Arabidopsis thaliana: one gene and its partners. The protein of the gene in region 2 interacts with the protein of the main gene of each other region in a pairwise test. Each region holds a gene or a part of one and is shown on either strand. Other genes may lie near its edges.

Evidence for each region. Proteins that work in one complex are often made in the same cells at the same time.
Region 1: the proteins of SNL1 (region 2) and ALY3 interact in a two-hybrid assay, tested with the Arabidopsis thaliana proteins (one study listed by BioGRID).
Region 3: the proteins of SNL1 (region 2) and HSI2 interact in a two-hybrid assay, tested with the Arabidopsis thaliana proteins (one study listed by BioGRID).

The regions. Positions count from the first base shown.
Region 1 is NC_003074.8:7,550,554-7,555,578, forward strand, and holds the start of ALY3 (DNA binding protein), read right to left. Parts: upstream 3,027-5,025; 5' UTR 2,880-3,026; intron 2,310-2,879; 5' UTR 2,289-2,309; coding exon 2,184-2,288; intron 1,822-2,183; coding exon 1,723-1,821; intron 1,522-1,722; coding exon 1,459-1,521; intron 1,378-1,458; coding exon 1,300-1,377; intron 866-1,299; coding exon 685-865; intron 277-684; coding exon 17-276; intron 1-16. Other genes in the region: AT3G21450 (Protein kinase superfamily protein), read right to left, coding at 3,412-3,612, 3,762-3,873, 3,960-4,113, 4,194-4,250, 4,339-4,453, 4,510-4,683.
Region 2 is NC_003074.8:104,375-112,310, forward strand, and holds the start of SNL1 (SIN3-like 1), read left to right. Parts: upstream 1-1,919; 5' UTR 1,920-1,921; coding exon of another isoform or gene 1,922-2,062; 5' UTR 2,063-2,355; coding exon 2,356-2,432; intron 2,433-2,585; coding exon 2,586-2,777; intron 2,778-2,864; coding exon 2,865-3,048; intron 3,049-3,138; coding exon 3,139-3,237; intron 3,238-3,306; coding exon 3,307-3,474; intron 3,475-3,563; coding exon 3,564-3,840; intron 3,841-4,029; coding exon 4,030-4,166; intron 4,167-4,245; coding exon 4,246-4,324; intron 4,325-4,406; coding exon 4,407-4,442; intron 4,443-4,539; coding exon 4,540-4,733; intron 4,734-4,807; coding exon 4,808-4,962; intron 4,963-5,035; coding exon 5,036-5,163; intron 5,164-5,284; coding exon 5,285-5,539; intron 5,540-5,684; coding exon 5,685-6,377; intron 6,378-6,457; coding exon 6,458-6,546; intron 6,547-6,775; coding exon 6,776-7,354; intron 7,355-7,419; coding exon 7,420-7,520; intron 7,521-7,611; coding exon 7,612-7,750; intron 7,751-7,843; and 1 more. Other genes in the region: AT3G01319 (uncharacterized protein), read right to left, coding at 1,922-2,062. UniProt on the Arabidopsis thaliana protein: Acts as a transcriptional repressor. A histone deacetylase (HDAC) activity is required for transcription repression. May play a role in telomere stability.
Region 3 is NC_003071.7:12,979,902-12,986,953, forward strand, and holds HSI2 (B3 domain-containing transcription repressor VAL1), read right to left. Parts: upstream 5,377-7,052; 5' UTR 4,824-5,376; coding exon 4,696-4,823; intron 4,437-4,695; coding exon 4,355-4,436; intron 4,258-4,354; coding exon 4,156-4,257; intron 4,069-4,155; coding exon 3,524-4,068; intron 3,435-3,523; coding exon 3,338-3,434; intron 3,252-3,337; coding exon 3,077-3,251; intron 2,956-3,076; coding exon 2,879-2,955; intron 2,785-2,878; coding exon 2,425-2,784; intron 2,331-2,424; coding exon 2,281-2,330; intron 2,164-2,280; coding exon 2,050-2,163; intron 1,930-2,049; coding exon 1,865-1,929; intron 1,581-1,864; coding exon 1,003-1,580; 3' UTR 527-1,002; downstream 1-526. UniProt on the Arabidopsis thaliana protein: Transcriptional repressor of gene expression involved in embryonic pathways, such as LEC1, ABI3, and FUS3. Repressor of the sugar-inducible genes involved in the seed maturation program in seedlings.

The DNA of each region.
Region 1 (5,025 bases), 7.4 Mb from region 2:
TAGTAGAGGAGATTACCATTCTTTCACCCTTTTTATCAGGGGGGTACATCTTTGCTTTTCTATTTGGTGTGTGGGAGTTCTTTGTAGAGCCACCTCGTTGTGAAGCCTCAGCCAATGCTAATGCTATCTCATGTTCCATATCATCATCAGTATCATCCCCCTTCTGATTTAAACCTCTCTTAACAGGTGATAAATATCTTTCCCTAGTATCCTTCTCAAGGGTGTATGAGATAGGAATTCTAGGAGTCCTTTTTCCAACAGCACGAGGCATAGTCTCTTGGCACATGCAAATTACGATTAATAGAAAAGTTAGCAACTATTAGATCGTTTCCATTAGACAGATAGTTAATGATCCAATAAAATTCCGGGAGGGAAGATCATTTTTATCCCACTATATACATTTAGGGAGGGTACTAACTTGAGTTGCATCATCTCAAGATACTGTTTTCAATAAATTTAGTGTACAAGATAGGTGCTAGTAAAATAAAGGAAAGAGCAGTTCTATCTAAGCTGATTCTGCAAGGCATCAACAACATGCAACACCAGCAAGACTGCAATAGTTGAGAAAAACAAAATTTGCACGAAGCAAAGACTCATGCATATATATAACTGTATGTGCTCACGCAACTCATGCTTGTGAAATGGGGAACAGATTTTGAGGCAAAGAGAAACAGAGAACACTACCAGTACGTCTCTTCTTCAGCGATGGCATGAAGCCTGAGGAGGACCTAAATTGTAAGCGGTCAGACAGACCCTCTAGTCCTATAGAGGGATGATCTGAGGATTTTACTCTAGAGCGCTTAGGGGCTGACCTCGGAGTTTCAATGCCTTCATTATTTTCCTGCTCACTGTCACTTCCTCCATGCTAGAGAAGAGATAGACTCGTTACATAATAATATGAAACCAAACCCCATACTACCAAATTATATTCCTTCGCAACAGAAATGGAAATACTTAACTAACAAGGCTCAACAACAATCAACGTCACTAACGTCCGCAAAAAATCACAAAGTTAGCTGGCCATGTTTCTAAGATATGCATAATGCTTAACAAAGAAACACTAAACCAAACGAATGTTAGAATTTATCTTTCCTGAGCTAAACTATATTTTCAAGTGAAAAAATCTGAACAAACAAGAGTGCTAAACCCCTAGGTGGAACAAACTTAAGTTGGCAGATGTTCCATAGAAACGGGTGGAAGACATGTACAATTGTTTTGAGTTTCAAATGGAAGTAAGTATGCTGAACTGGACCAAGTGCGTGTTAGTTATAACATATTTGAACGGTTTCAAACTTTTACCAGAACAGAGTAGTGATCCGTCATCATTGCAGTTAGGCCAACCACAGATGCAGTGCCTTCCGGAAGAGACAAGTAAGCCTAAAGTACAGATGGCATAATATAAGTGGAAAATGTTTAGACAAAGATCACAATACAAATCAAGGAGGAGAACATGCTGACCTTATTCATAGTGTATAAGGCCTCTACCATTTCTGCAGAACGGCTATGTACAAATCCAGCAACCTACAACCATAGATGAAAAAACACCATAAATATTGCTGGTTCTGCAAACCAAAGTGATTATAAAAATGACATTCCCATACCCATAACATTTGGCGGAAACTATGGCAGCAATTTATTACCCTTCTTTTGGAATAATGTAATGTTTTACTACAAATCATATACCAAATCGTAAATAATGTCTATTTTGCTAATTGAACTAACCTTTTTCCATTCTTTTCCGAATTTGCGGTATCCTTCATAAAAGCGCTCTAACTCTTCCTTGCTCCACTGAGGACCTAACATGTCCGACAACTTCCTCTTCTGCAAGTAAGGAGCACTATAAGATATGCTTGGAGACCAGCTGATAAAATTGGTCGCAGAATAACAACAAACAAATTTGCTCGCACATTGGAGACAAGGGTAAAACAATGTCTCCTCCTTGAAATAGGAATTGAAACAAAAACAACAACTTAAACGTAGAAAATATTTGAGTAAATGTTGAAACAAGAACAAAGAAAGGTTATTACTTGGATCAATCAAGAAACAAAAAGTCTAGCAAATAACTAGGTATATCCTTCTACAGCGAAACTATGCTAAATTTCCCAATCAAATCTCAGGCTGAGCAATACATAACCCTACCTAAAGTTGAGGTCATCCAGTAAAACATTAGGAAAAAAGCTTACCCGTTGTTTAGTTTTGCTCATACTTTCTTCGTCTTTGTGAGGAGAAACAGCTTTAGCACGAGGCTTCTTCTTGTACTTAGATTTCTTTGATCTTGAGGGCGCCATAAGTTAAAGCTCTTCTGTTACCTGAAACATTCCCAAAATTGAACCCAAGTTTAGATTTTACCAAGATACAACAAACACAATAAATCATAAGCTCAATCCTTGATAGATACATCTATTTATCAGTTAATCATCTCCAAAGAAACTGACTACCAGTACTAATGAAACTAAAGTCTACATGCAAAACCCACCTCATACCAAAAAAGTGTGCTCATTATCAGTATCAACCCTACTTTCGCTCAATAGAATATGAAACCCAGAGAAGTTTAAGAAACAACTTGTCCAAATTAGAAAATCAATCTCCTTAAGCAACTCCAGCTAGTGAAATTTATGCGAATTCAAATCACAAGACCTGACACCCATCGATTTTGAGCTTCGAATTTCAAAATCCAAAGCTCAATAATCAGTGCGCAGATTCCCCAGAACCAAATTTTAAACTCACAAACTTCGCACCTAATCCAAAAAACTTTCCTACCGAATAAAAAACGAAAATTGCAGGACGAACGATTAAAAAAGCTCAAATTATTTGAAAATTCGATGAGAACAAATCAGAATTAAAAAAAAAAAAAAAAAGAGAAGATTGAAAGAGCTTACCTACACAAATCCAAAATCACTCGGAAGCCATCGCCGGGACTTGAAGAAGAAATTACAGAGAGAAATTAGAGAAATCCGGTAAGAGATCGGAATATGAACAGATCAGAGCTTCTTCGGGTTTTTTGAGCGATCGAAAGAGAGATTGAGGAAGATGAAGAAGCAGCAAAAACAAGAGATTGAAACAATTTTTGGGGATATAACCGCGAAAACTTTAAAATAAAAAGAAAAATAAATATTAGAAGAATCCGATAAAATGTAATTTTTCGTTATACAACTTTTGTTGCAGAGAGTCTCTCTATATAAATAATTTGCGAAGATTCAATCATTTTTTTAAAACAAACCTACAAATTAAATCCAATTCGGTTCGGTTCGCCTTTATAAATTGGATTTGGATTGGTTAAACCAAATTTAAACCACACAGTTCGAATCCAATGCGGTTTAATTCTGGTTTGTAATAGTCAAGTTGAATTTTATTATAGTCCTTTATAGGGGTTTTCGAAATAGACTGAAGCAACAACACCATGTCTTTCGCTTACTCAATGGTTATGTTAAAAAGCTCACTTCCTAGAGAAACCTCATGGTTCTCACTGATGACATTAAGGTAAATCGTCTCAAGCTCGGTCACGACCACATCCATCTTTGGGCGATTTATCGGGGGATATTCCAAGCATTCCGACGTAATTATCAGATAAGCTTGGAACGATGGTCTCGTGAATGTTTCTGCAGGTATATTCTTATCCCAAAATGTGTTTGTAAAAAGTCTCGGACTTATCTACAAATCACAAATAAATTTCCAAACAATATATTTTTAAGTACATACAATTAACAAACAAAAAAAAGTTGTAAATGGAGAAAGAGAGGGTTTTTTTTTCTATTACGTACCCATTGTAAAACTTCATAGTCTGATTGTAACAGTCCAGGGTTTTGACAGGTGATAAGCTCTAGAAGGAACAACCCGAAGCTATACACATCAATTGTCTCCTCTGAACCACCTCTATAGAAAATATTCATAAGAACATATTTGTTAGGACTTTGAAGGAATGATGTAACTTATATGATCATAAGTGAATTAATTAATACCTTGGATTAGCGAGATGAATATCACTTGCTTGAAGCAGTCCCAACATTGCCCCATCTGATACCTTGGCATTGAGGTTGGCATCGAGCAAAACTTTACTCGCCGTAAATCTCTTGTGTTGTACTGGAGGATCTAAGTTGTGCAAGTGTAGTAACCCTGAATTGAAAAACAGAGAGACTTTAATATTAGTTTTTAGAACAATCAATGTGAGTTTTGGATCATCCATTTTGATTTACCTTTGGCTGCATCAAGAGCTATAGATATTCTTTTCTTGAACGTTAAGTCGCTAGACTCTACTCAATAACCAAAAAGAGAGATGATCACATAAAAATGATGTATGGATCAAATTTCAAGAGTTTACTATAATGCATTACTTACCACCTAGATAATCTCGGACGCTACCGTTGACCATATACTCAAAGACGAGCGATTGGTTCTCGTCGTCGCAACAATAACCGAGCAGATTAACCAAATTTTTATGTTGGATGTAAGAAACCTGAGACACATACAACAATATGTCACAAATACATAAATTATTTTCAATGAAATCACCAATTTTTTGTTTGTGTGTACCTCATCCAAGAATCTAGGTTGGGGACTACACCACTCCCTTTTGATCACAACGGGCATGTCCTTGATCAGCCCAGTGTAAACTGTTCCGTGACTTCCATGCCCAATAGTATTATCCATGTCAAAATTGTTCGTTGCTTGCCTTAATTCCTCCATCGAGTACTCGATCAGGCGTTGTGGCGTCACTTGTAGACGTGAATTACAAGAGCATCAAAAGATGTAATTACTTTCATGATCAGCACATTAACTAATATGTTTAAATTAAATAATAAACCCAATAAAACTTAATATTTGTATATAGAAAAGACACATTTAAAAGACTTGTAAAAAACTTTTCTTTGTCTTTTTATTACATCAAATGTATTAAAAACACTAAGTGTGGTTATAATGTCAAGATTAGACTTACCGGTTGAACTCTTGAGGGAGTTTTTGCCACACAGTAATATGGAAATCCAGAAAAGAGCGATTAGAATCGCTATGATCGCAATTGGTGCAGCA
Region 2 (7,936 bases):
TGCAACGTAGGCTAATATGGTTTGTTGACCTGAGTCTTGTTTTTTAATTCGCTTGATTTGAGTCTTTTATCGTTAATGGTTTGTTATATGTTTGATCCATGTCAAAAGTTTGTTGAACCGTGGGATTAGGATTGTTCAGATTATAAGACCAGATTTCTAAATAGTATGACAACTCCGAAGACCAGATTCTGAACCTCTTCCATTAATTGAACTATTTGGTTAAATAAATCAAACTGTTCTATTTGTTTCTATGATTCCATCTCTGTAAACGGTCAATGTATATGTGTGAGTCTTTTATAATTCGAATCTTCTGCTCAGATATATGAATTTATTCTCATAGATTACAAGAATCTCTGAAGTCTGACATGTGAATTTCTCATAAAATCATCACCGCAGAAGAAGAAATTATCCAAAACGAAATTTGAAGGAAAATACTAAAAAATCGAAAGAAAAGAAGAGAGATCAGAGTTTGGTTAAGAATTTTTTCGGTCACGGTTAATCTGAAACACGGACCAATTTGTTGATCATCATATCTCTCGTTTCAAACAAAACAATCAAAACAGAAGAAAATCAAATCGAAAAAGATCTAGTTGAAAACGATTAAGATCATCAGAGACTTAAATACTAATAATCACAAAGATTACTCCATCATATTGTTGCAGTATTACCTCATCACCTGATCTCAATTTTGCATTATCTATACGGACCAATACATCATAACTCGAAAACCAAAGATCTAAAGAAAACTAAACTGAAGATAAAATACGAACTTGAACAGAGAACCCTAAACTGACTTGATAAGAGCTTGATGTCTGTCAAAGTCATGTGTGGTTTGTATATAAAGGTCCCCAATGGCGGCGATTCTTAGGTTTCTCGAGGAAAACCCTAACGCTTATGGGTCGTATATGAGCTTCATAAGGCCCATTATAATAAACCTCTTTTGACCCATAAAAACCCCAAACCAATACTCAATTAGCTTATATGGATGGGCTTGACTGAAAATTTACAACTTCTCATTTTTGGTTTGATTCAAGAAAAAACAAAATATTAATTTTAAAAAAAAATATGTACTTGGAACAAAATAATTTGTAAGAAAATCTACATCTATTTAAGGCTTGAAGTCATTGGATCCTATTTTAATGGAAGACAAGATCAAAATTTATATCCTTTTTTTGGGGAGTAGATATAAACTTTTAAGCTTAATTTAGCATGTTTTGTAGTAAATCCAAAACTGGATAAAATCTAATTTCAAACTCAACTAATTCTGTTCATTTTATCTTTAAACAAGTTCAAACACTTGAAACAATAGCTTCATACATACGCAAAAGAAACAAACACACAACAAAATTGATAGAATAAAATAAGTTTGGTATTAAAGAAGATATAATCGTAACAAGATTCAAAACTTAAGTAATGACATCGCTACAAAGATCAGCTGTTTCGTTCCGACGTCAAGGTTCTTCGGGTCGTATTTGGAGTGATCAATTCATCTTAGATCAAAAAAATGGAGCAATTCTTCAAAATCATCTAGAACAAACCGGAAGAAATAGTAATGATCTTGAAGATAAAAATCCATCACAGAAATCAAGTTCTTCGTCATCTTCTTCATCACCACCTCCATACTTTTCTGAAATACGTAGAGGACCAGACATCTCATCTTCTACACGAAACAAACTCGCTTGTGGTTTATCATCACTTTTCCGACAATGTATCGGTTCTTCGGCTCGTGCTTAATTTTGTTCAATGCTTGACGCAAATCTGTACATATATTTTCTTGTTATATGAAAAATTCATCACAATTTTTTCCGACCAAACAGAGTTCTTGATAAATGGGCCTATTATTTTAAAAAGCCCAATAGATATTTGAGTGTCCGGCCCAAATTGAAGTAGAATAAAAGATAAGTTACCAATTTACCAGTAGTTAGCAGCAAACACACAGAGAAAGTGAAACATCGAAGAGACCCCAGAATGCAAAATCTCTCTCCGCCTTTTTCTCCTTCCTTATTCGAAAATTCTCAGCGTCTTTGTTGCAAACTCCTCTGAAATTCTCCGTCTTCTTCATTCGTTTTCGACTCTGCGTTCTACTACTTCTCGTCTCCTATCAGTATCATCGCAATTCATATTCAGTCTAGTGTGTTAAACCGGAGAATTTGGAGTCTCGCCGGAATTTTCCTCTGTCTATGTATGATTGCCGGTGATCAAAGCGCTTCTTAACGATTCTGTTCTCCTTTGAGAGATCTGAGTATCTGATTTCATCTACTACATATGTTTTCTCGAGAGTGATAGAAAGTAGGTCTCATACATATTTTTCCTCTGGAGGGAATTTTGATCCTCTGCTTCGTTAATTAACTTGTGATGAAGCGGATAAGAGATGATGTATATGCCTCTGGGTCTCAATTTAGACGTCCTCTTGGTTCTTCTCGAGGCCAATTGTGAGTTTCTCTAAATTCACCCTTCAAATTTCGGTTTTGATCTTGGTTCTGTTTTGTGGCGATTAGGTTTTCTATAATTCTGCATGGAGAGTGACAAATATTTGTTATGAATTGAGTAGTTTTAAGTAATCGATTAGAGATGATTTGGTGCAGATGTGGACAATCTCCGGTCCACGGCAGTGGTGACACCGAAGAAGAAGAAGAAGGAGGGAGCCGGAGAGTCTCTCAGAAATTGACAACCAATGATGCGTTGTCGTACCTGAGGGAAGTAAAAGAGATGTTTCAAGATCAACGCGAGAAATATGACAGGTTCCTCGAGGTTATGAAAGATTTTAAGGCTCAAAGGTTAGCTCTTTCACTCTCTATCGACTTCAAAGTTCAAGTAAGTTTTAGTAGGCGGCATTGTATTAATTCTTCGTCTTGCATTTTCAGAACCGACACAGGCGGTGTGATCGCAAGAGTTAAGGAATTGTTTAAGGGACATAATAATTTGATTTATGGATTCAACACCTTTTTGCCTAAGGGATATGAAATTACGCTTATTGAGGAAGACGACGCTCTGCCAAAGAAGACTGTTGAATTCGAACAAGCCATCAATTTTGTGAATAAAATTAAGGTGCTGTCGAAATCTTGGTCTTATATTTCTCTTTTGAAGTGCGCTTACATCTTGTGTCTCAATGTACAAGTTTCTTTTTTCTCACTGCAGATGCGATTCAAGCACGATGAACATGTCTATAAATCTTTCTTGGAAATCTTGAATATGTACCGAAAGGAGAACAAGGAAATTAAAGAGGTGTACAACGAGGTAATATACTTCATCTCACCTGTAATGCCACTCCAAACTTTTTCTAACCTTCGAATATCTATGCTCCAGGTATCTATTCTTTTTCAAGGCCACTTGGATTTGCTTGAACAGTTTACTAGGTTTTTGCCAGCGTCTTTGCCATCTCATTCAGCAGCGCAGCATAGCCGGAGTCAGGCTCAACAGTACAGCGACCGAGGATCAGACCCTCCTCTACTTCATCAAATGCAAGTGGAAAAGGTTCGTTTGATCTTTGTTTCATATTTTTCCTTGTTCTATTTTTTGCCACGTATCTCAATTTTGTTCCCGCTACAACTTTTTATCACCAGGAACGCCGACGAGAAAGGGCTGTTGCTCTCCGCGGTGATTATAGTGTTGAACGTTATGACCTTAATGATGATAAAACGATGGTGAAGATTCAAAGAGAGCAGCGGAAGCGCCTTGATAAGGAGAACAGGGCAAGGAGAGGCCGTGATTTGGACGATAGAGAAGCAGGTCAAGATAACCTACACCATTTTCCAGAGAAAAGAAAGTCGTCCAGAAGAGCTGAAGCTCTTGAAGCATATTCTGGTTCTGCTTCACATTCTGAGAAAGACAATTTGAAAAGTAAGCTAACTCCTGTGTCAAACATTTTTTTATTTGCTTGGTACCTTTTCTATTTTTTAAGAGTCCCAAACATTGGACACCTTAATTCTTTCTCTTTGAGAGAGAATTTATTTTCCAATTTTGGTTGCATGGTGATCTTTAAGGTGCGAAGATCTGCTTCTGTTTTCTAAGATGTTTACTTTGTGTTAGGTATGTACAAACAAGCATTCGTTTTCTGTGAGAAAGTCAAGGATAGACTATGCAGCCAAGATGATTATCAGACATTCTTGAAGTGCCTCAATATTTTTAGCAATGGAATAATCCAAAGGAAGGATCTGCAAAACTTGGTATTGCAATTTGTGATCAGGGGTTGATCTTGTGGTAACGTTCAGGAAGTTGTATTAAATCCCATTCATTTTCTTTCAGGTTTCTGATCTTCTTGGGAAATTTCCTGATCTGATGGATGAGTTCAACCAGTTCTTCGAGCGGTGTGAGAGTATTACTGGTACTGAAATACGTATTGTTATTTTAATAGTTATTACATATCAGCAATCTTCTTCTTTCTGACGGTCATCCTCTTTTTGTAGATGGATTTCAGCGTCTTGCTGGTGTTATGAGCAAAAGTATGCTGCTATTTTAAACTTCCCAGCTGTGAATAATATTGTCTCTTTCCCTCCTACTTTGTAAAATCTTTACTGACATTGCTGGTACACTTGGCAGAATTATTTAGCAGCGAAGAACAGTTATCCAGGCCAATGAAGGTGGAAGAGAAAGAAAGTGAACACAAGCCTGAACTCGAGGCTGTGAAGGAAACTGAGCAATGCAAGAAGGAGTACATGGGAAAATCTATTCAAGAGCTCGATCTCTCTGATTGCGAGTGTTGCACTCCTAGCTACCGGCTTCTGCCTGCGGATGTAAGCTTCTATTTCCAAGTTGCATTTTGAGCATGTTCATTGGATTTTTACTTACTGTAATATTATATTTGCAGTATCCGATACCAATTGCGAGTCAGAGATCGGAGCTAGGAGCTGAGGTTTTAAATGATCATTGGGTATCTGTCACTTCCGGAAGTGAAGATTATTCTTTTAAGCACATGCGCAGAAACCAATATGAAGAGAGCTTGTTCAGATGCGAAGATGATAGGTATTTATATTGACAACATACATATTATAGTTTGAAGTAATTGGTCATTTATGTTAATTACTGCTTATAACAGATTTGAGTTGGACATGTTGCTGGAATCTGTGAGCTCTGCGGCCAGAAGTGCAGAAAGTTTGTTGAACATCATCACAGAGAAGAAAATAAGTTTTTCTGGCTCCTTCAGGATCGAAGACCATTTTACGGGTCTGTATGCTTTTTTGGGACCATTTTACAGTTCGTAGTTATATCTTCTCTCTTCCCCTATTTAGGTGTCCTCATATGTTTGGTTATTAACTTTACCATTTTCTTATTGACATATTTACAGCCCTAAATTTAAGGTGTATTGAGCGACTTTATGGCGACCATGGTCTTGACGTGATAGACATATTAAATAAGAATCCAGCCACTGCACTTCCTGTAATCCTAACTCGTTTAAAGCAGAAACAAGGTGAATGGAAGAAATGCCGTGACGATTTTGATAAGGTCTGGGCGAACGTATATGCAAAAAACCATTACAAGTCACTTGATCACCGCAGCTTCTACTTCAAGCAACAAGATTCAAAGAACTTGAGTGCAAAATGTAAGTAGACTTATAGAAGTCGTAAGAAGATTTATATTCAAGTAGTTCCTTTATCCTGTTTTATCGCTCACATACATCCGGCAGTGCTATTTTTCCTTTCACTTATTCCTTTCTCATTCTGTTTTTTTATTGCTTCGTGAACCAGCATTGTTGGCTGAAATTAAGGAGCTGAAAGAGAAGTCTCAGAATGATGATGATGTTCTGTTGTCTATTTCTGCTGGTTACAGACAACCTATAAATCCTAATCTTGAATATGAGTATTTGAACAGAGCTATTCATGAAGACATGTTCAAAGTAGTCCAGTTTTCATGTGAGGAGTTATGTTCTACAAAAGAACAGCTCAGTAAAGTTCTGAGGCTTTGGGAAAATTTCCTGGAGGCAGTGCTGGGTGTTCCTCCCAGGGCCAAGGGCACAGATCTTGTTGAAGATGTTGTAATAAACCCCAAGACTCTCGATGTGAATCACAGCACATCTCCTAACGGGGAGGCTGCTGTGAGTTCTGGAGGAGACACAGCAAGGTTGGCTTCTAGGAAACTTAAATCTGCTGCCAATGGAGATGAGAATTCTTCATCTGGGACATTCAAACATGGGATAGGTTTGTTAAATAAAGATTCGACAGGGAAAGAAAATCTTGAAGATGTTGAAATAGCTAACAGAGATGGTGTTGCCTGCTCTGCTGTGAAACCTCAGAAAGAACAAGAAACTGGAAATGAAGCCGAGAAAAGGTTTGGAAAACCTATCCCAATGGATATTAGCGAAAGAGCAGCCATCTCGAGTATATCAATCCCAAGTGGGGCAGAAAACAATCATTGTGTAGTAGGCAAGGAAGTTTTGCCAGGTGCCTTCCAGATTTAAGCTATTTAATTTTATTTGTGCTGCTTGATTATTTGTGTTGATATTTGTTACTTTACAATTAAGGTGCACATGAGATTCAAGCCAAACCAAGCGACACCCTCACTGATATTCATCATGATGTAGATAGCATTGAAACTGTTCATTCGACTCAGGTACTAGTACTACAATCAATTGCTCGTTGTACCATATTTACACCATTCAGTTGCTCGTTGTACCATATTTATATATTCGCCTAAACCCACTATTACCTGGAGGTTTCCATAGCTTAGGGATGTAAAAATTTACAGTACTACCTATGGGACCCAGGGGTGTAAAAATTTAAAATGTGTCTTATATTATAATTATGCTTTCCGGACCCTTCTGACTCTGTCATATTACTAGGGAGGTGATGTTGGCAATTCGATAGTTTTGGCAAATGGATTAAGGTCAGATTCTTCTAAAGGTACTAGGAATTCTGATGATCCCGAAGGTCCCTCCAGAAATGAGAAAGAGGAAGGTGAACTGTCACCTAATGGTGATTTTGAAGACAACTTTGGTGTTTACAAAGATCATGGGGTGAAGTCCACATCCAAACCAGAGAATTCAGCAGAGGCTGAAGTAGAGGCAGATGCTGAAGTAGAGAATGAGGACGATGCTGACGATGTTGATAGTGAAAATGCTTCCGAGGCATCTGGAACTGAATCTGGTGGCGACGTATGTTCTCAGGACGAAGATAGAGAGGAGGAGAATGGTGAGCATGATGAGATCGATGGTAAAGCTGAGAGTGAAGGAGAAGCGGAGGGAATGGATCCACATCTCTTAGAAGGAGAAAGTGAGCTGCTTCCACAGTCAGAACGTGTTCTCTTATCCGTCAGACCCCTTTCAAAGCATGTCGCAGCAGTTTTATGCGATGAGAGAACAAAAGATCTCCAAGTTTTCTATGGGAATGACGACTTTTATGTTCTTTTTAGGCTTCACCAAGTGAGTTACCTAATTATTTATTGAAATTGATTCTCTCTAGCAAAGATAACGTGGTGCATTTTCAGATCCTGTACGAGAGAATTTTGTATGCAAAAAGGAATTGCTCAGGCGGTGAACTGAAATCGAAAAACTTAAAGGATACCAATGCCGGAGATCCTTATGCGAGGTACCTTCCTTTGTACAACTTTTTATACTAGCCTATGTAGATAATCATATACATGTTGTTCCCATCAAAATCTGATCTGTGTGTTGTACAGGTTTATGAGGGTTTTGTATGGTTTGCTAGATGGATCAGCTGAAAATACCAAGTTTGAGGATGAGTGCAGAGCTATAATTGGAAACCAATCATATGTGTTATTCACGTTGGACAAACTGATTTACAGATTGGTTAAGCAGGTGTTACTCACACTAGTGGTTTAGGACAATTTTTTTTATGTTATCGACATTATGTTACCTTCCTTGTGATGTTCTAATATTATCCATCTGCAGCTTCAAGCTATTGTAGCCGATGAAATGGACAACAAGCTGCTTCAGTTGTATGAGTATGAGAAATCCCGGAAACCAGGAAGGGTTATCGACTCA
Region 3 (7,052 bases), on a different chromosome or scaffold from region 2:
AATAATTTTAAGAAGTCATTTTTGAAAATTCTATGTAAACATATTATCTCATCATATCATAAATTAACAATTGTTAAACTTATTGCTATATATACAACTTAATATTTATAATATATAATAGTATTTTATATATGACATCATATATATATATATATTATATGTAAAAACTTTAGTGTAGTATGACTTAATATTGTTTGTTTTTCTTAAGTTAATATTAATTCTGGTAGAGTTCATTTCAAATATGCTTACTACATGTAAAAAAGTTTATGTTGTTTTTTTATTCTAAACTTATTATTGTTTTTCTACTTGTAACTGTTTTAGAAATATATTGATTGTAAAGAAAAAATTGTTTTTTAGATATTATTTTTTTAATTACAAAATTAGTAAACCTCACTATAAATTAATAATTATTAAAATTATCGATAAATTAATATATTTATGAATATATAGAATTTTTCGTTTCTAATATTATTAATTTGTAGAGGTTTTATCGTAATTGTTTTTGGTAAAATGATTTAACCTCTTAATTAATCTCCTTATACCATTTACAAGTCTACTTCATGCAGTTTTCAACAACTGTCATAATTTGTGTTTAACAATATTATAAGAAACAACTTTTAAAAAAATTAAACCAACTAGGCATTTGGTTGAAAACAATTACAAAAAAAAAAATCAACTCAACTGTTTCATCACCAAGCACAAAGCTCCATTTGCCTTCTACAACAAAACCTAGATTAATGGAGACATACTATAAACCCCAAACTCAACACGATACCATAAAAATACAAAAACAAAAACAAAAAACAAAAGATGGGACATTGTCGCTGTTTAGAACCAGAAACTTATTTTTCCTACAACTATGACAGAATCAAACACAAAACTGTACTTCTCTCTCTCTCTCTCTCTCTCTCTTTCTCTTCTTCTTCTCCTACTCTTGGTCTCAGCATATTAATAAAACTGGCTATGACTTTGGCTTTTACCCTTTCCCTTTTTCCTTCCATATCAGCTTGAAACTCTCGGCTCTTCACGAACATTCTTACCCTCTCCTTCTAACTCTGTAACTCCTAAAACATCACTGGCGTCTTGAGCCACCACGCCCGAACACTGTCCTATTGCTCTTTTTCGACTCTCTTCTTTCTCCACCGCAACAGCTTCAACATCTTCTTTATTGTATGGATCACTGTTCAGGTCTATTCTCGCTGTGTTCACTTCCTTCTCCTCCTTACTCTTATCAGACTCAGCCAGTTCCATGTCCTTCTTCTTCTTATCTTCTGCTGCTGTTACATCGCGCTCCAACTGCTTCTTCTTCCTCCTCATCATAAGCGTCTTGAACCTTCTCTTCACGGTGCTACACACAGTGCAGCCACATGTAGGCTTGTGCCTACCTTTCCCACTTGGTGGCTGAATGCACACGATGCAAGAGCATCCAGCCCTGTGCCTTGGATGTCTGGTCGTGGTCGCTACCTCTGGCTCGCCTATTGTGTCTCCTAAGACTGCTGCACTCGCCAGTGCGTCCAAACCACACGGTTCTTGCTGACTTTTTGCTGCCTGGCTTTCCCCAGTTCTTCTCTTCTTGTGCTCTATATATATATGCATACAGTTAGTGTCTTGAGATTCTCAATAAGCTGAGATTATGAAAAGTAAGCTGCGTTCAGAAACAAATTTGCAGGATACCAAGCAAACAATCCATATTTTGATAAAATTCTAACATAAGGAAGGCGCAACATGCACAAATAACAGATACATATCCTGAATGTTTTATATGAACGCCAAACCATAAATTGCTCAGAAGTCACAACTACTTGGAAGCAGTCTAGATAATGAGAAAGAACCATGAGAGGCCAGGAAATAAAAGATTTCATACCTCTTCCTACTTTAAGAACATTCTCAAGTTCCTTCAGACTCTCCTCCGGTGCAGAACATGAACACCTATCAATGAATATATTATTAATTACAGTGACAGGACACTAGGGAGAAAAAAAAAAACTCTAAATGATCTTCGATTTAAGCGATCATGAGATTAAAGAAAAGACTTGTGAAAGTTCTTACCTACTCACATCCCAAACATTGTCTATACATGTCCATTTAAAGGAAAGAAGAGCATCTACAGGTAACCTTCTCCATTTAGAGCAGTCGTCGCAAGTTGCCCATCGTTCCTGTTCACTGGACCACAAAGAAATTTGTTAGTAAATCATTTGCAAGTATGGAAGTAAACTATAGGAGAAGATACGTTGCCATTCATTTTATTTTTTTACTTGAGAAGTGAAAGAAATAACTAACCCTGAAGGTTTTGTAGTGACTATAGTCCTCTTTCCAAAGACAGGAGGTTCCTGTGTATAACATTAACATGAACTATGACTTAACCAAGGATCAAGTTAAGGGTTAATCAAATGGTTGTAAAAAACAACATGATCTACCACGTACGTCATATTCTTCAATTTCTTGCTCCTCAATGACAACGATGGTAGGCTTTACACTAGGAGAGGGACGAAGCAAGTCCTGAGCTTCTTCCCAAGTGAGTCTCAGCTCCATAGATTCTTCACTATGCAAAAGAAGTCTCTTATTTTTTGCACCAATGGTTCGAGTTCTCTTCTTCTCTTTAACTCGTGTAGGATCATCACCTATCCTGCCCCCGTTAGTCTCACTGTTCAAATTCTCAGGCATACCATTCAACTCTTTCGGTATTAGTGAAATACACGAGGAACCATTTATGGAGGGTGGGTTTTCTGTTACACCAGACGATGATGTGTCCTCAGTTGATGTTCCGTTGGTGAGCCCACAACCCTATTTATAAATATTGTAACCGGATAAGAATGGAGCTAAGCAGAAAATAAAAACCAGCACATTCCTACAGAAACCAGTTCATAGAAACCCCAACCTGCATGTCTCCAGCATTAGCTGCCTTCCTGGAACCCATGATTAGTTTTCCGCCAGGATCAACCCGACTGAAAGTTACTGTAGAGGTGAAAAACACAGAAAACCAACAATAGTTTTAGAAAATGGTTCATGAAAATTTGATGTTAAAACCAGCAAATGCTTGAAGCTTTAGCTAAGACATGAACTATATTAAAAGTACCTGTATCACCAGCCTGTAGCATCATGGACTGTATGCATGGAGTGACACCTTCTAAAACATACATTCTACTATTGTTATTGGGCCAATATCTGAACTGGAACGTCCACTCCCTACCCCTCACATCTTGGATTTTCAAAGGAATGCCTTCGGATTGACTAATCGGAGGAAAATATGCCTATATACCAATGCAGACATCAGTCATAACTCTACAAAATATTTCAAGGACAAGAAAAGACATCACCATAGGAATGGGAAATTTACCTCTGCACAGGCTTTTGGAAGAACTAGACGACCAATGCGACCAGCATCACTGGCACTAAGAGTTTTCTCAAAGAGAGGTACAATGTTCAAATTCAAACTAGAATTTGTTAAGATAAACAATGAGTCACCAGAAGTCTGTCCAGAATAAAATATTTGGCAAAAGTACTAGAAGCAAATAAAGGATACTTTCCAGAGATCTGCTGAACCTCTTTATCCGTATATTTTGGCCAATACCGCGGAAGCAAGTGGCCTCTCCCTCGCCCTTCGACAGGAGGCCTTCCAATCCGCGCCTGAGCGGATTTACTAGCCACAGGAGGAGTTGAAATAGCAGGTCTTGATGGCTTTTGCAGTATATTAGAAGCAGAGCAATGGACCATGTTGGACTGAGAAGGACTGATGTGTTTCATTCCCTCGACAGCCTCGGTTGCAAAAGATGGGCTAAACGGATTCACAGCCAAACCCATATTTAAAGATGGCTGTAAAGGTGATGATTCATGCATTTCCCCAGCAGCATCCAGCCTATGCCCGGTGGTTGTACTTTCTGGACTCATTAGCTTACCAAACCCACGGTGAGGCATGAACTCTTCCCTTTTATCTCCGCCCATGACTAGTGGCTGAGAAAAGAGATCGCCTTCGTTTCTTCCTCCGCTTTCGCCATTTACATGTTGCCTATCAGCTAACGTTTTCATTGGCAATCTGCTAAAAACACCTGGATTCTCACCCCTTGTGTTCTGAAAAACGTGAAGACAGAATCCTTACAACAACAACTTACATATAATATACTCGAATACGCTGAACCGAGTCTAGTAAAAACTCACCAAATTGAGTTGATGGCAGCAAGCACATGTACTACAACCAACACCACCATAGTCCATTAACTCAATCGTTACCTTAGAAGCAATGCATCCACAATGTAGTCTCTGTCATCACAGAATCTCAATCAGAACAACAAAACATCACCACTAAACTCTATATATAGAAAAAACAAACATATTCACACAGTTTCAAAAAACGCACCTTGCTACACAAATAGCATTCCCTCCAACCAGATTGGTCCTTATGAAATTGTTCACAGAATAGAGAACTCTCATACGCAGATCTATAACAAAATCATTACAACCAAAGTCTCAATTTTTTTCCTTTTATGTACCAAAGTCACATATTTTTTCCCTATTTATAGATTAAAAGAGTCAAGATTCGCACTAAGAAACCATATACGTAGTCAAAAAAACAGAACATGAACAAACTAAGAGCTAAACAGAGAATCAAGAAGAGGGTCACGAAAAGATCGAGACTTTAGTCAAAAATCAAACGAAATTTGGAGTTTAGAATAGGAAATTAGAGAGATTGAGAAATACCCGCAACGATAACAGAGATCAGCGAGAAGACCAGATCGAAGAGGCCAACCTTTCTTCCATTCAACAGTAGAAGTCGTACCACATGAAGCGTTCATGCACATCTTTGACCCCATTTTGACTTCAAACATCACAAACTCCAAACCCCAATTCCAAAATCTTAAAACCCTAACACCACACAAAGAGCTAGAACAACGAATCGGATACGAAATCGACGTGAATTGATGAAATTGAAGGATTGAGGAAGAGACTAGTCATGAACATGCATCGACGTTGGTCAAAATCAAAGGTTCGTGTGTAGAGAGATCAGAGGATTGGTGAAGGACCGGCGGGGGAAGAGAAAGAGAAGATTTTGACGGCGAATTGAAGAAAGAAAGAGGACTGTAACGGCGAAGAAGAAGGCAACGAGGTTTTTTTTTTTTGGGTGAATTTTTTTTTTTGTTTCAATTTAATTTATCGATGTGAAAAATTAAAACTTTTATGGGTGAGATAGAGAGAGAAAGAGGGAGAGAGCATGCAAGTGAACGAAACGCATAAAATGCATGCACGACACTTGAAGACACACACAAAACTCGAAAAGTAAGAAAACTCGCAGAGATTTAGAACAGACACAAAGTGAAAGACTTTGGTTTTTTTTTGACTTTGTTAAGATATGTTTTTTTGGTATATAATATATATAGAAATGAAATTTAGGGTTGGTAGGAATCATATATTTTGGAAAAAAAATAGTATGGTGACGTAATTTTAATATTTGGTTATATGTATTCAACTAATTTATAGGTATTTTCCTTTCTACAGTTGGGGTATTATTTATATAAGGAAATATTGATTATTTCATCAAGAAAAGAAAGAATTATTCAATAGAAACATATATGTTTCTTTTTGCAAATCATAAATATATAGAGTGCATGCATGACACTAACACACACATGCACAAAAGACTTTGAGGTTCTTCTTTTTCTCTTTTGACTTTCTTGGTTTGTTATTGTCAATTACTCTAAGAAATCATTTTAATTTAAGTTTGTAAAAGTTATAAAAATTATCCTAAGAAAAGAAAATAATAGTACATAAATTCTACTTATCTAATTAAAGATTATAATAGAAATTTGCGATCGCGTACATGTATATGCTATATACTCTACCTGTCGTCATTCTCTGTATATGTATTCTAACCAAATTTGAGTTCCGAATACCCTAAAACTTAGAGTGGATTGAGACCGATAGATAAGTAAAAATTGACGATTCATATCAAACATGTAGTCTTATGGTAGAATATATATTCCAAAATAAGATACCAAATTTATAGAGAACTTGCAAACGAAATGGGAAGAATTGGTGGAATATAAACTAAAAATTCATTCTTGCTTAAATTGAATTTTTTTTTCCTACACTGAAGAAAATACCATCGACAAAAAGAAATATGCAAAAAATCAACACAATATATTTTGTAGGATTTGTTTATTTTTTGTTAATACTTTTGAAGGATTTGTAGTTAATTGAATATATATATATATATATAATATATTATGTTTTTTTTTTTGCCATTTTACTACATTTAACCATAACCTTGCTATTTATGGAGTCCAATAGTCCATGCGCATGATAAACATACAGTATAAGTGTTCACACGATTTTATATATGCATGTGATTTTCTGTCAAATAACACGTTACTACCCAAGAATATATCATCTATTTGTTCTAACTTTTACTCATGCATGCTCTATTCACTTCGTATTTCCCATTAAATCTTTAATCTTTTCTATCTAATTAGTTCAAATTTAAATCTAACTAAAATGACACCATATCTTTTGGAATCGCTCTCTTTTGGGTGGAATCTTCTATATTATCAACGAGCTACTATTAAGTTACTACGTTTTTTCACTCCCTTTTTTGACCTTATATATAGCTAGGCTTGTAACACCTATCGAGTAATTGACTACTGTTGGAACGAGTAAAAAACTTATAAGTTTTAACTCAGTGTAAAATGTCGCCGTCTGGTAAAAAGAGTGGTATTCTATGTATTATCCTAAATTTCATTATACACTTATGGAATTTTCTTGTTGACAGCAAAATATATAGACATAATCCTTTTTTGGATTTTTGCATATTTTCATATGTGGAAATAATCTTTTACCATGCAAAAGAGATATATAATCAACTTAGGGCCACTTTGCCCTTATCCTTGTAATAAATAGTTTTATTTTTCCCCCATAATTTAATTCATGAAACTGACTTGGATAGTCCGAACCACTAGATTAGATTCGCATCATACAAGTACAACTGGATTATAAAACTGAAATAGAAATTCAACTATAAAATTCAAAGCACGTAATGAACTTCTTCTTTTTTCACCTATTGT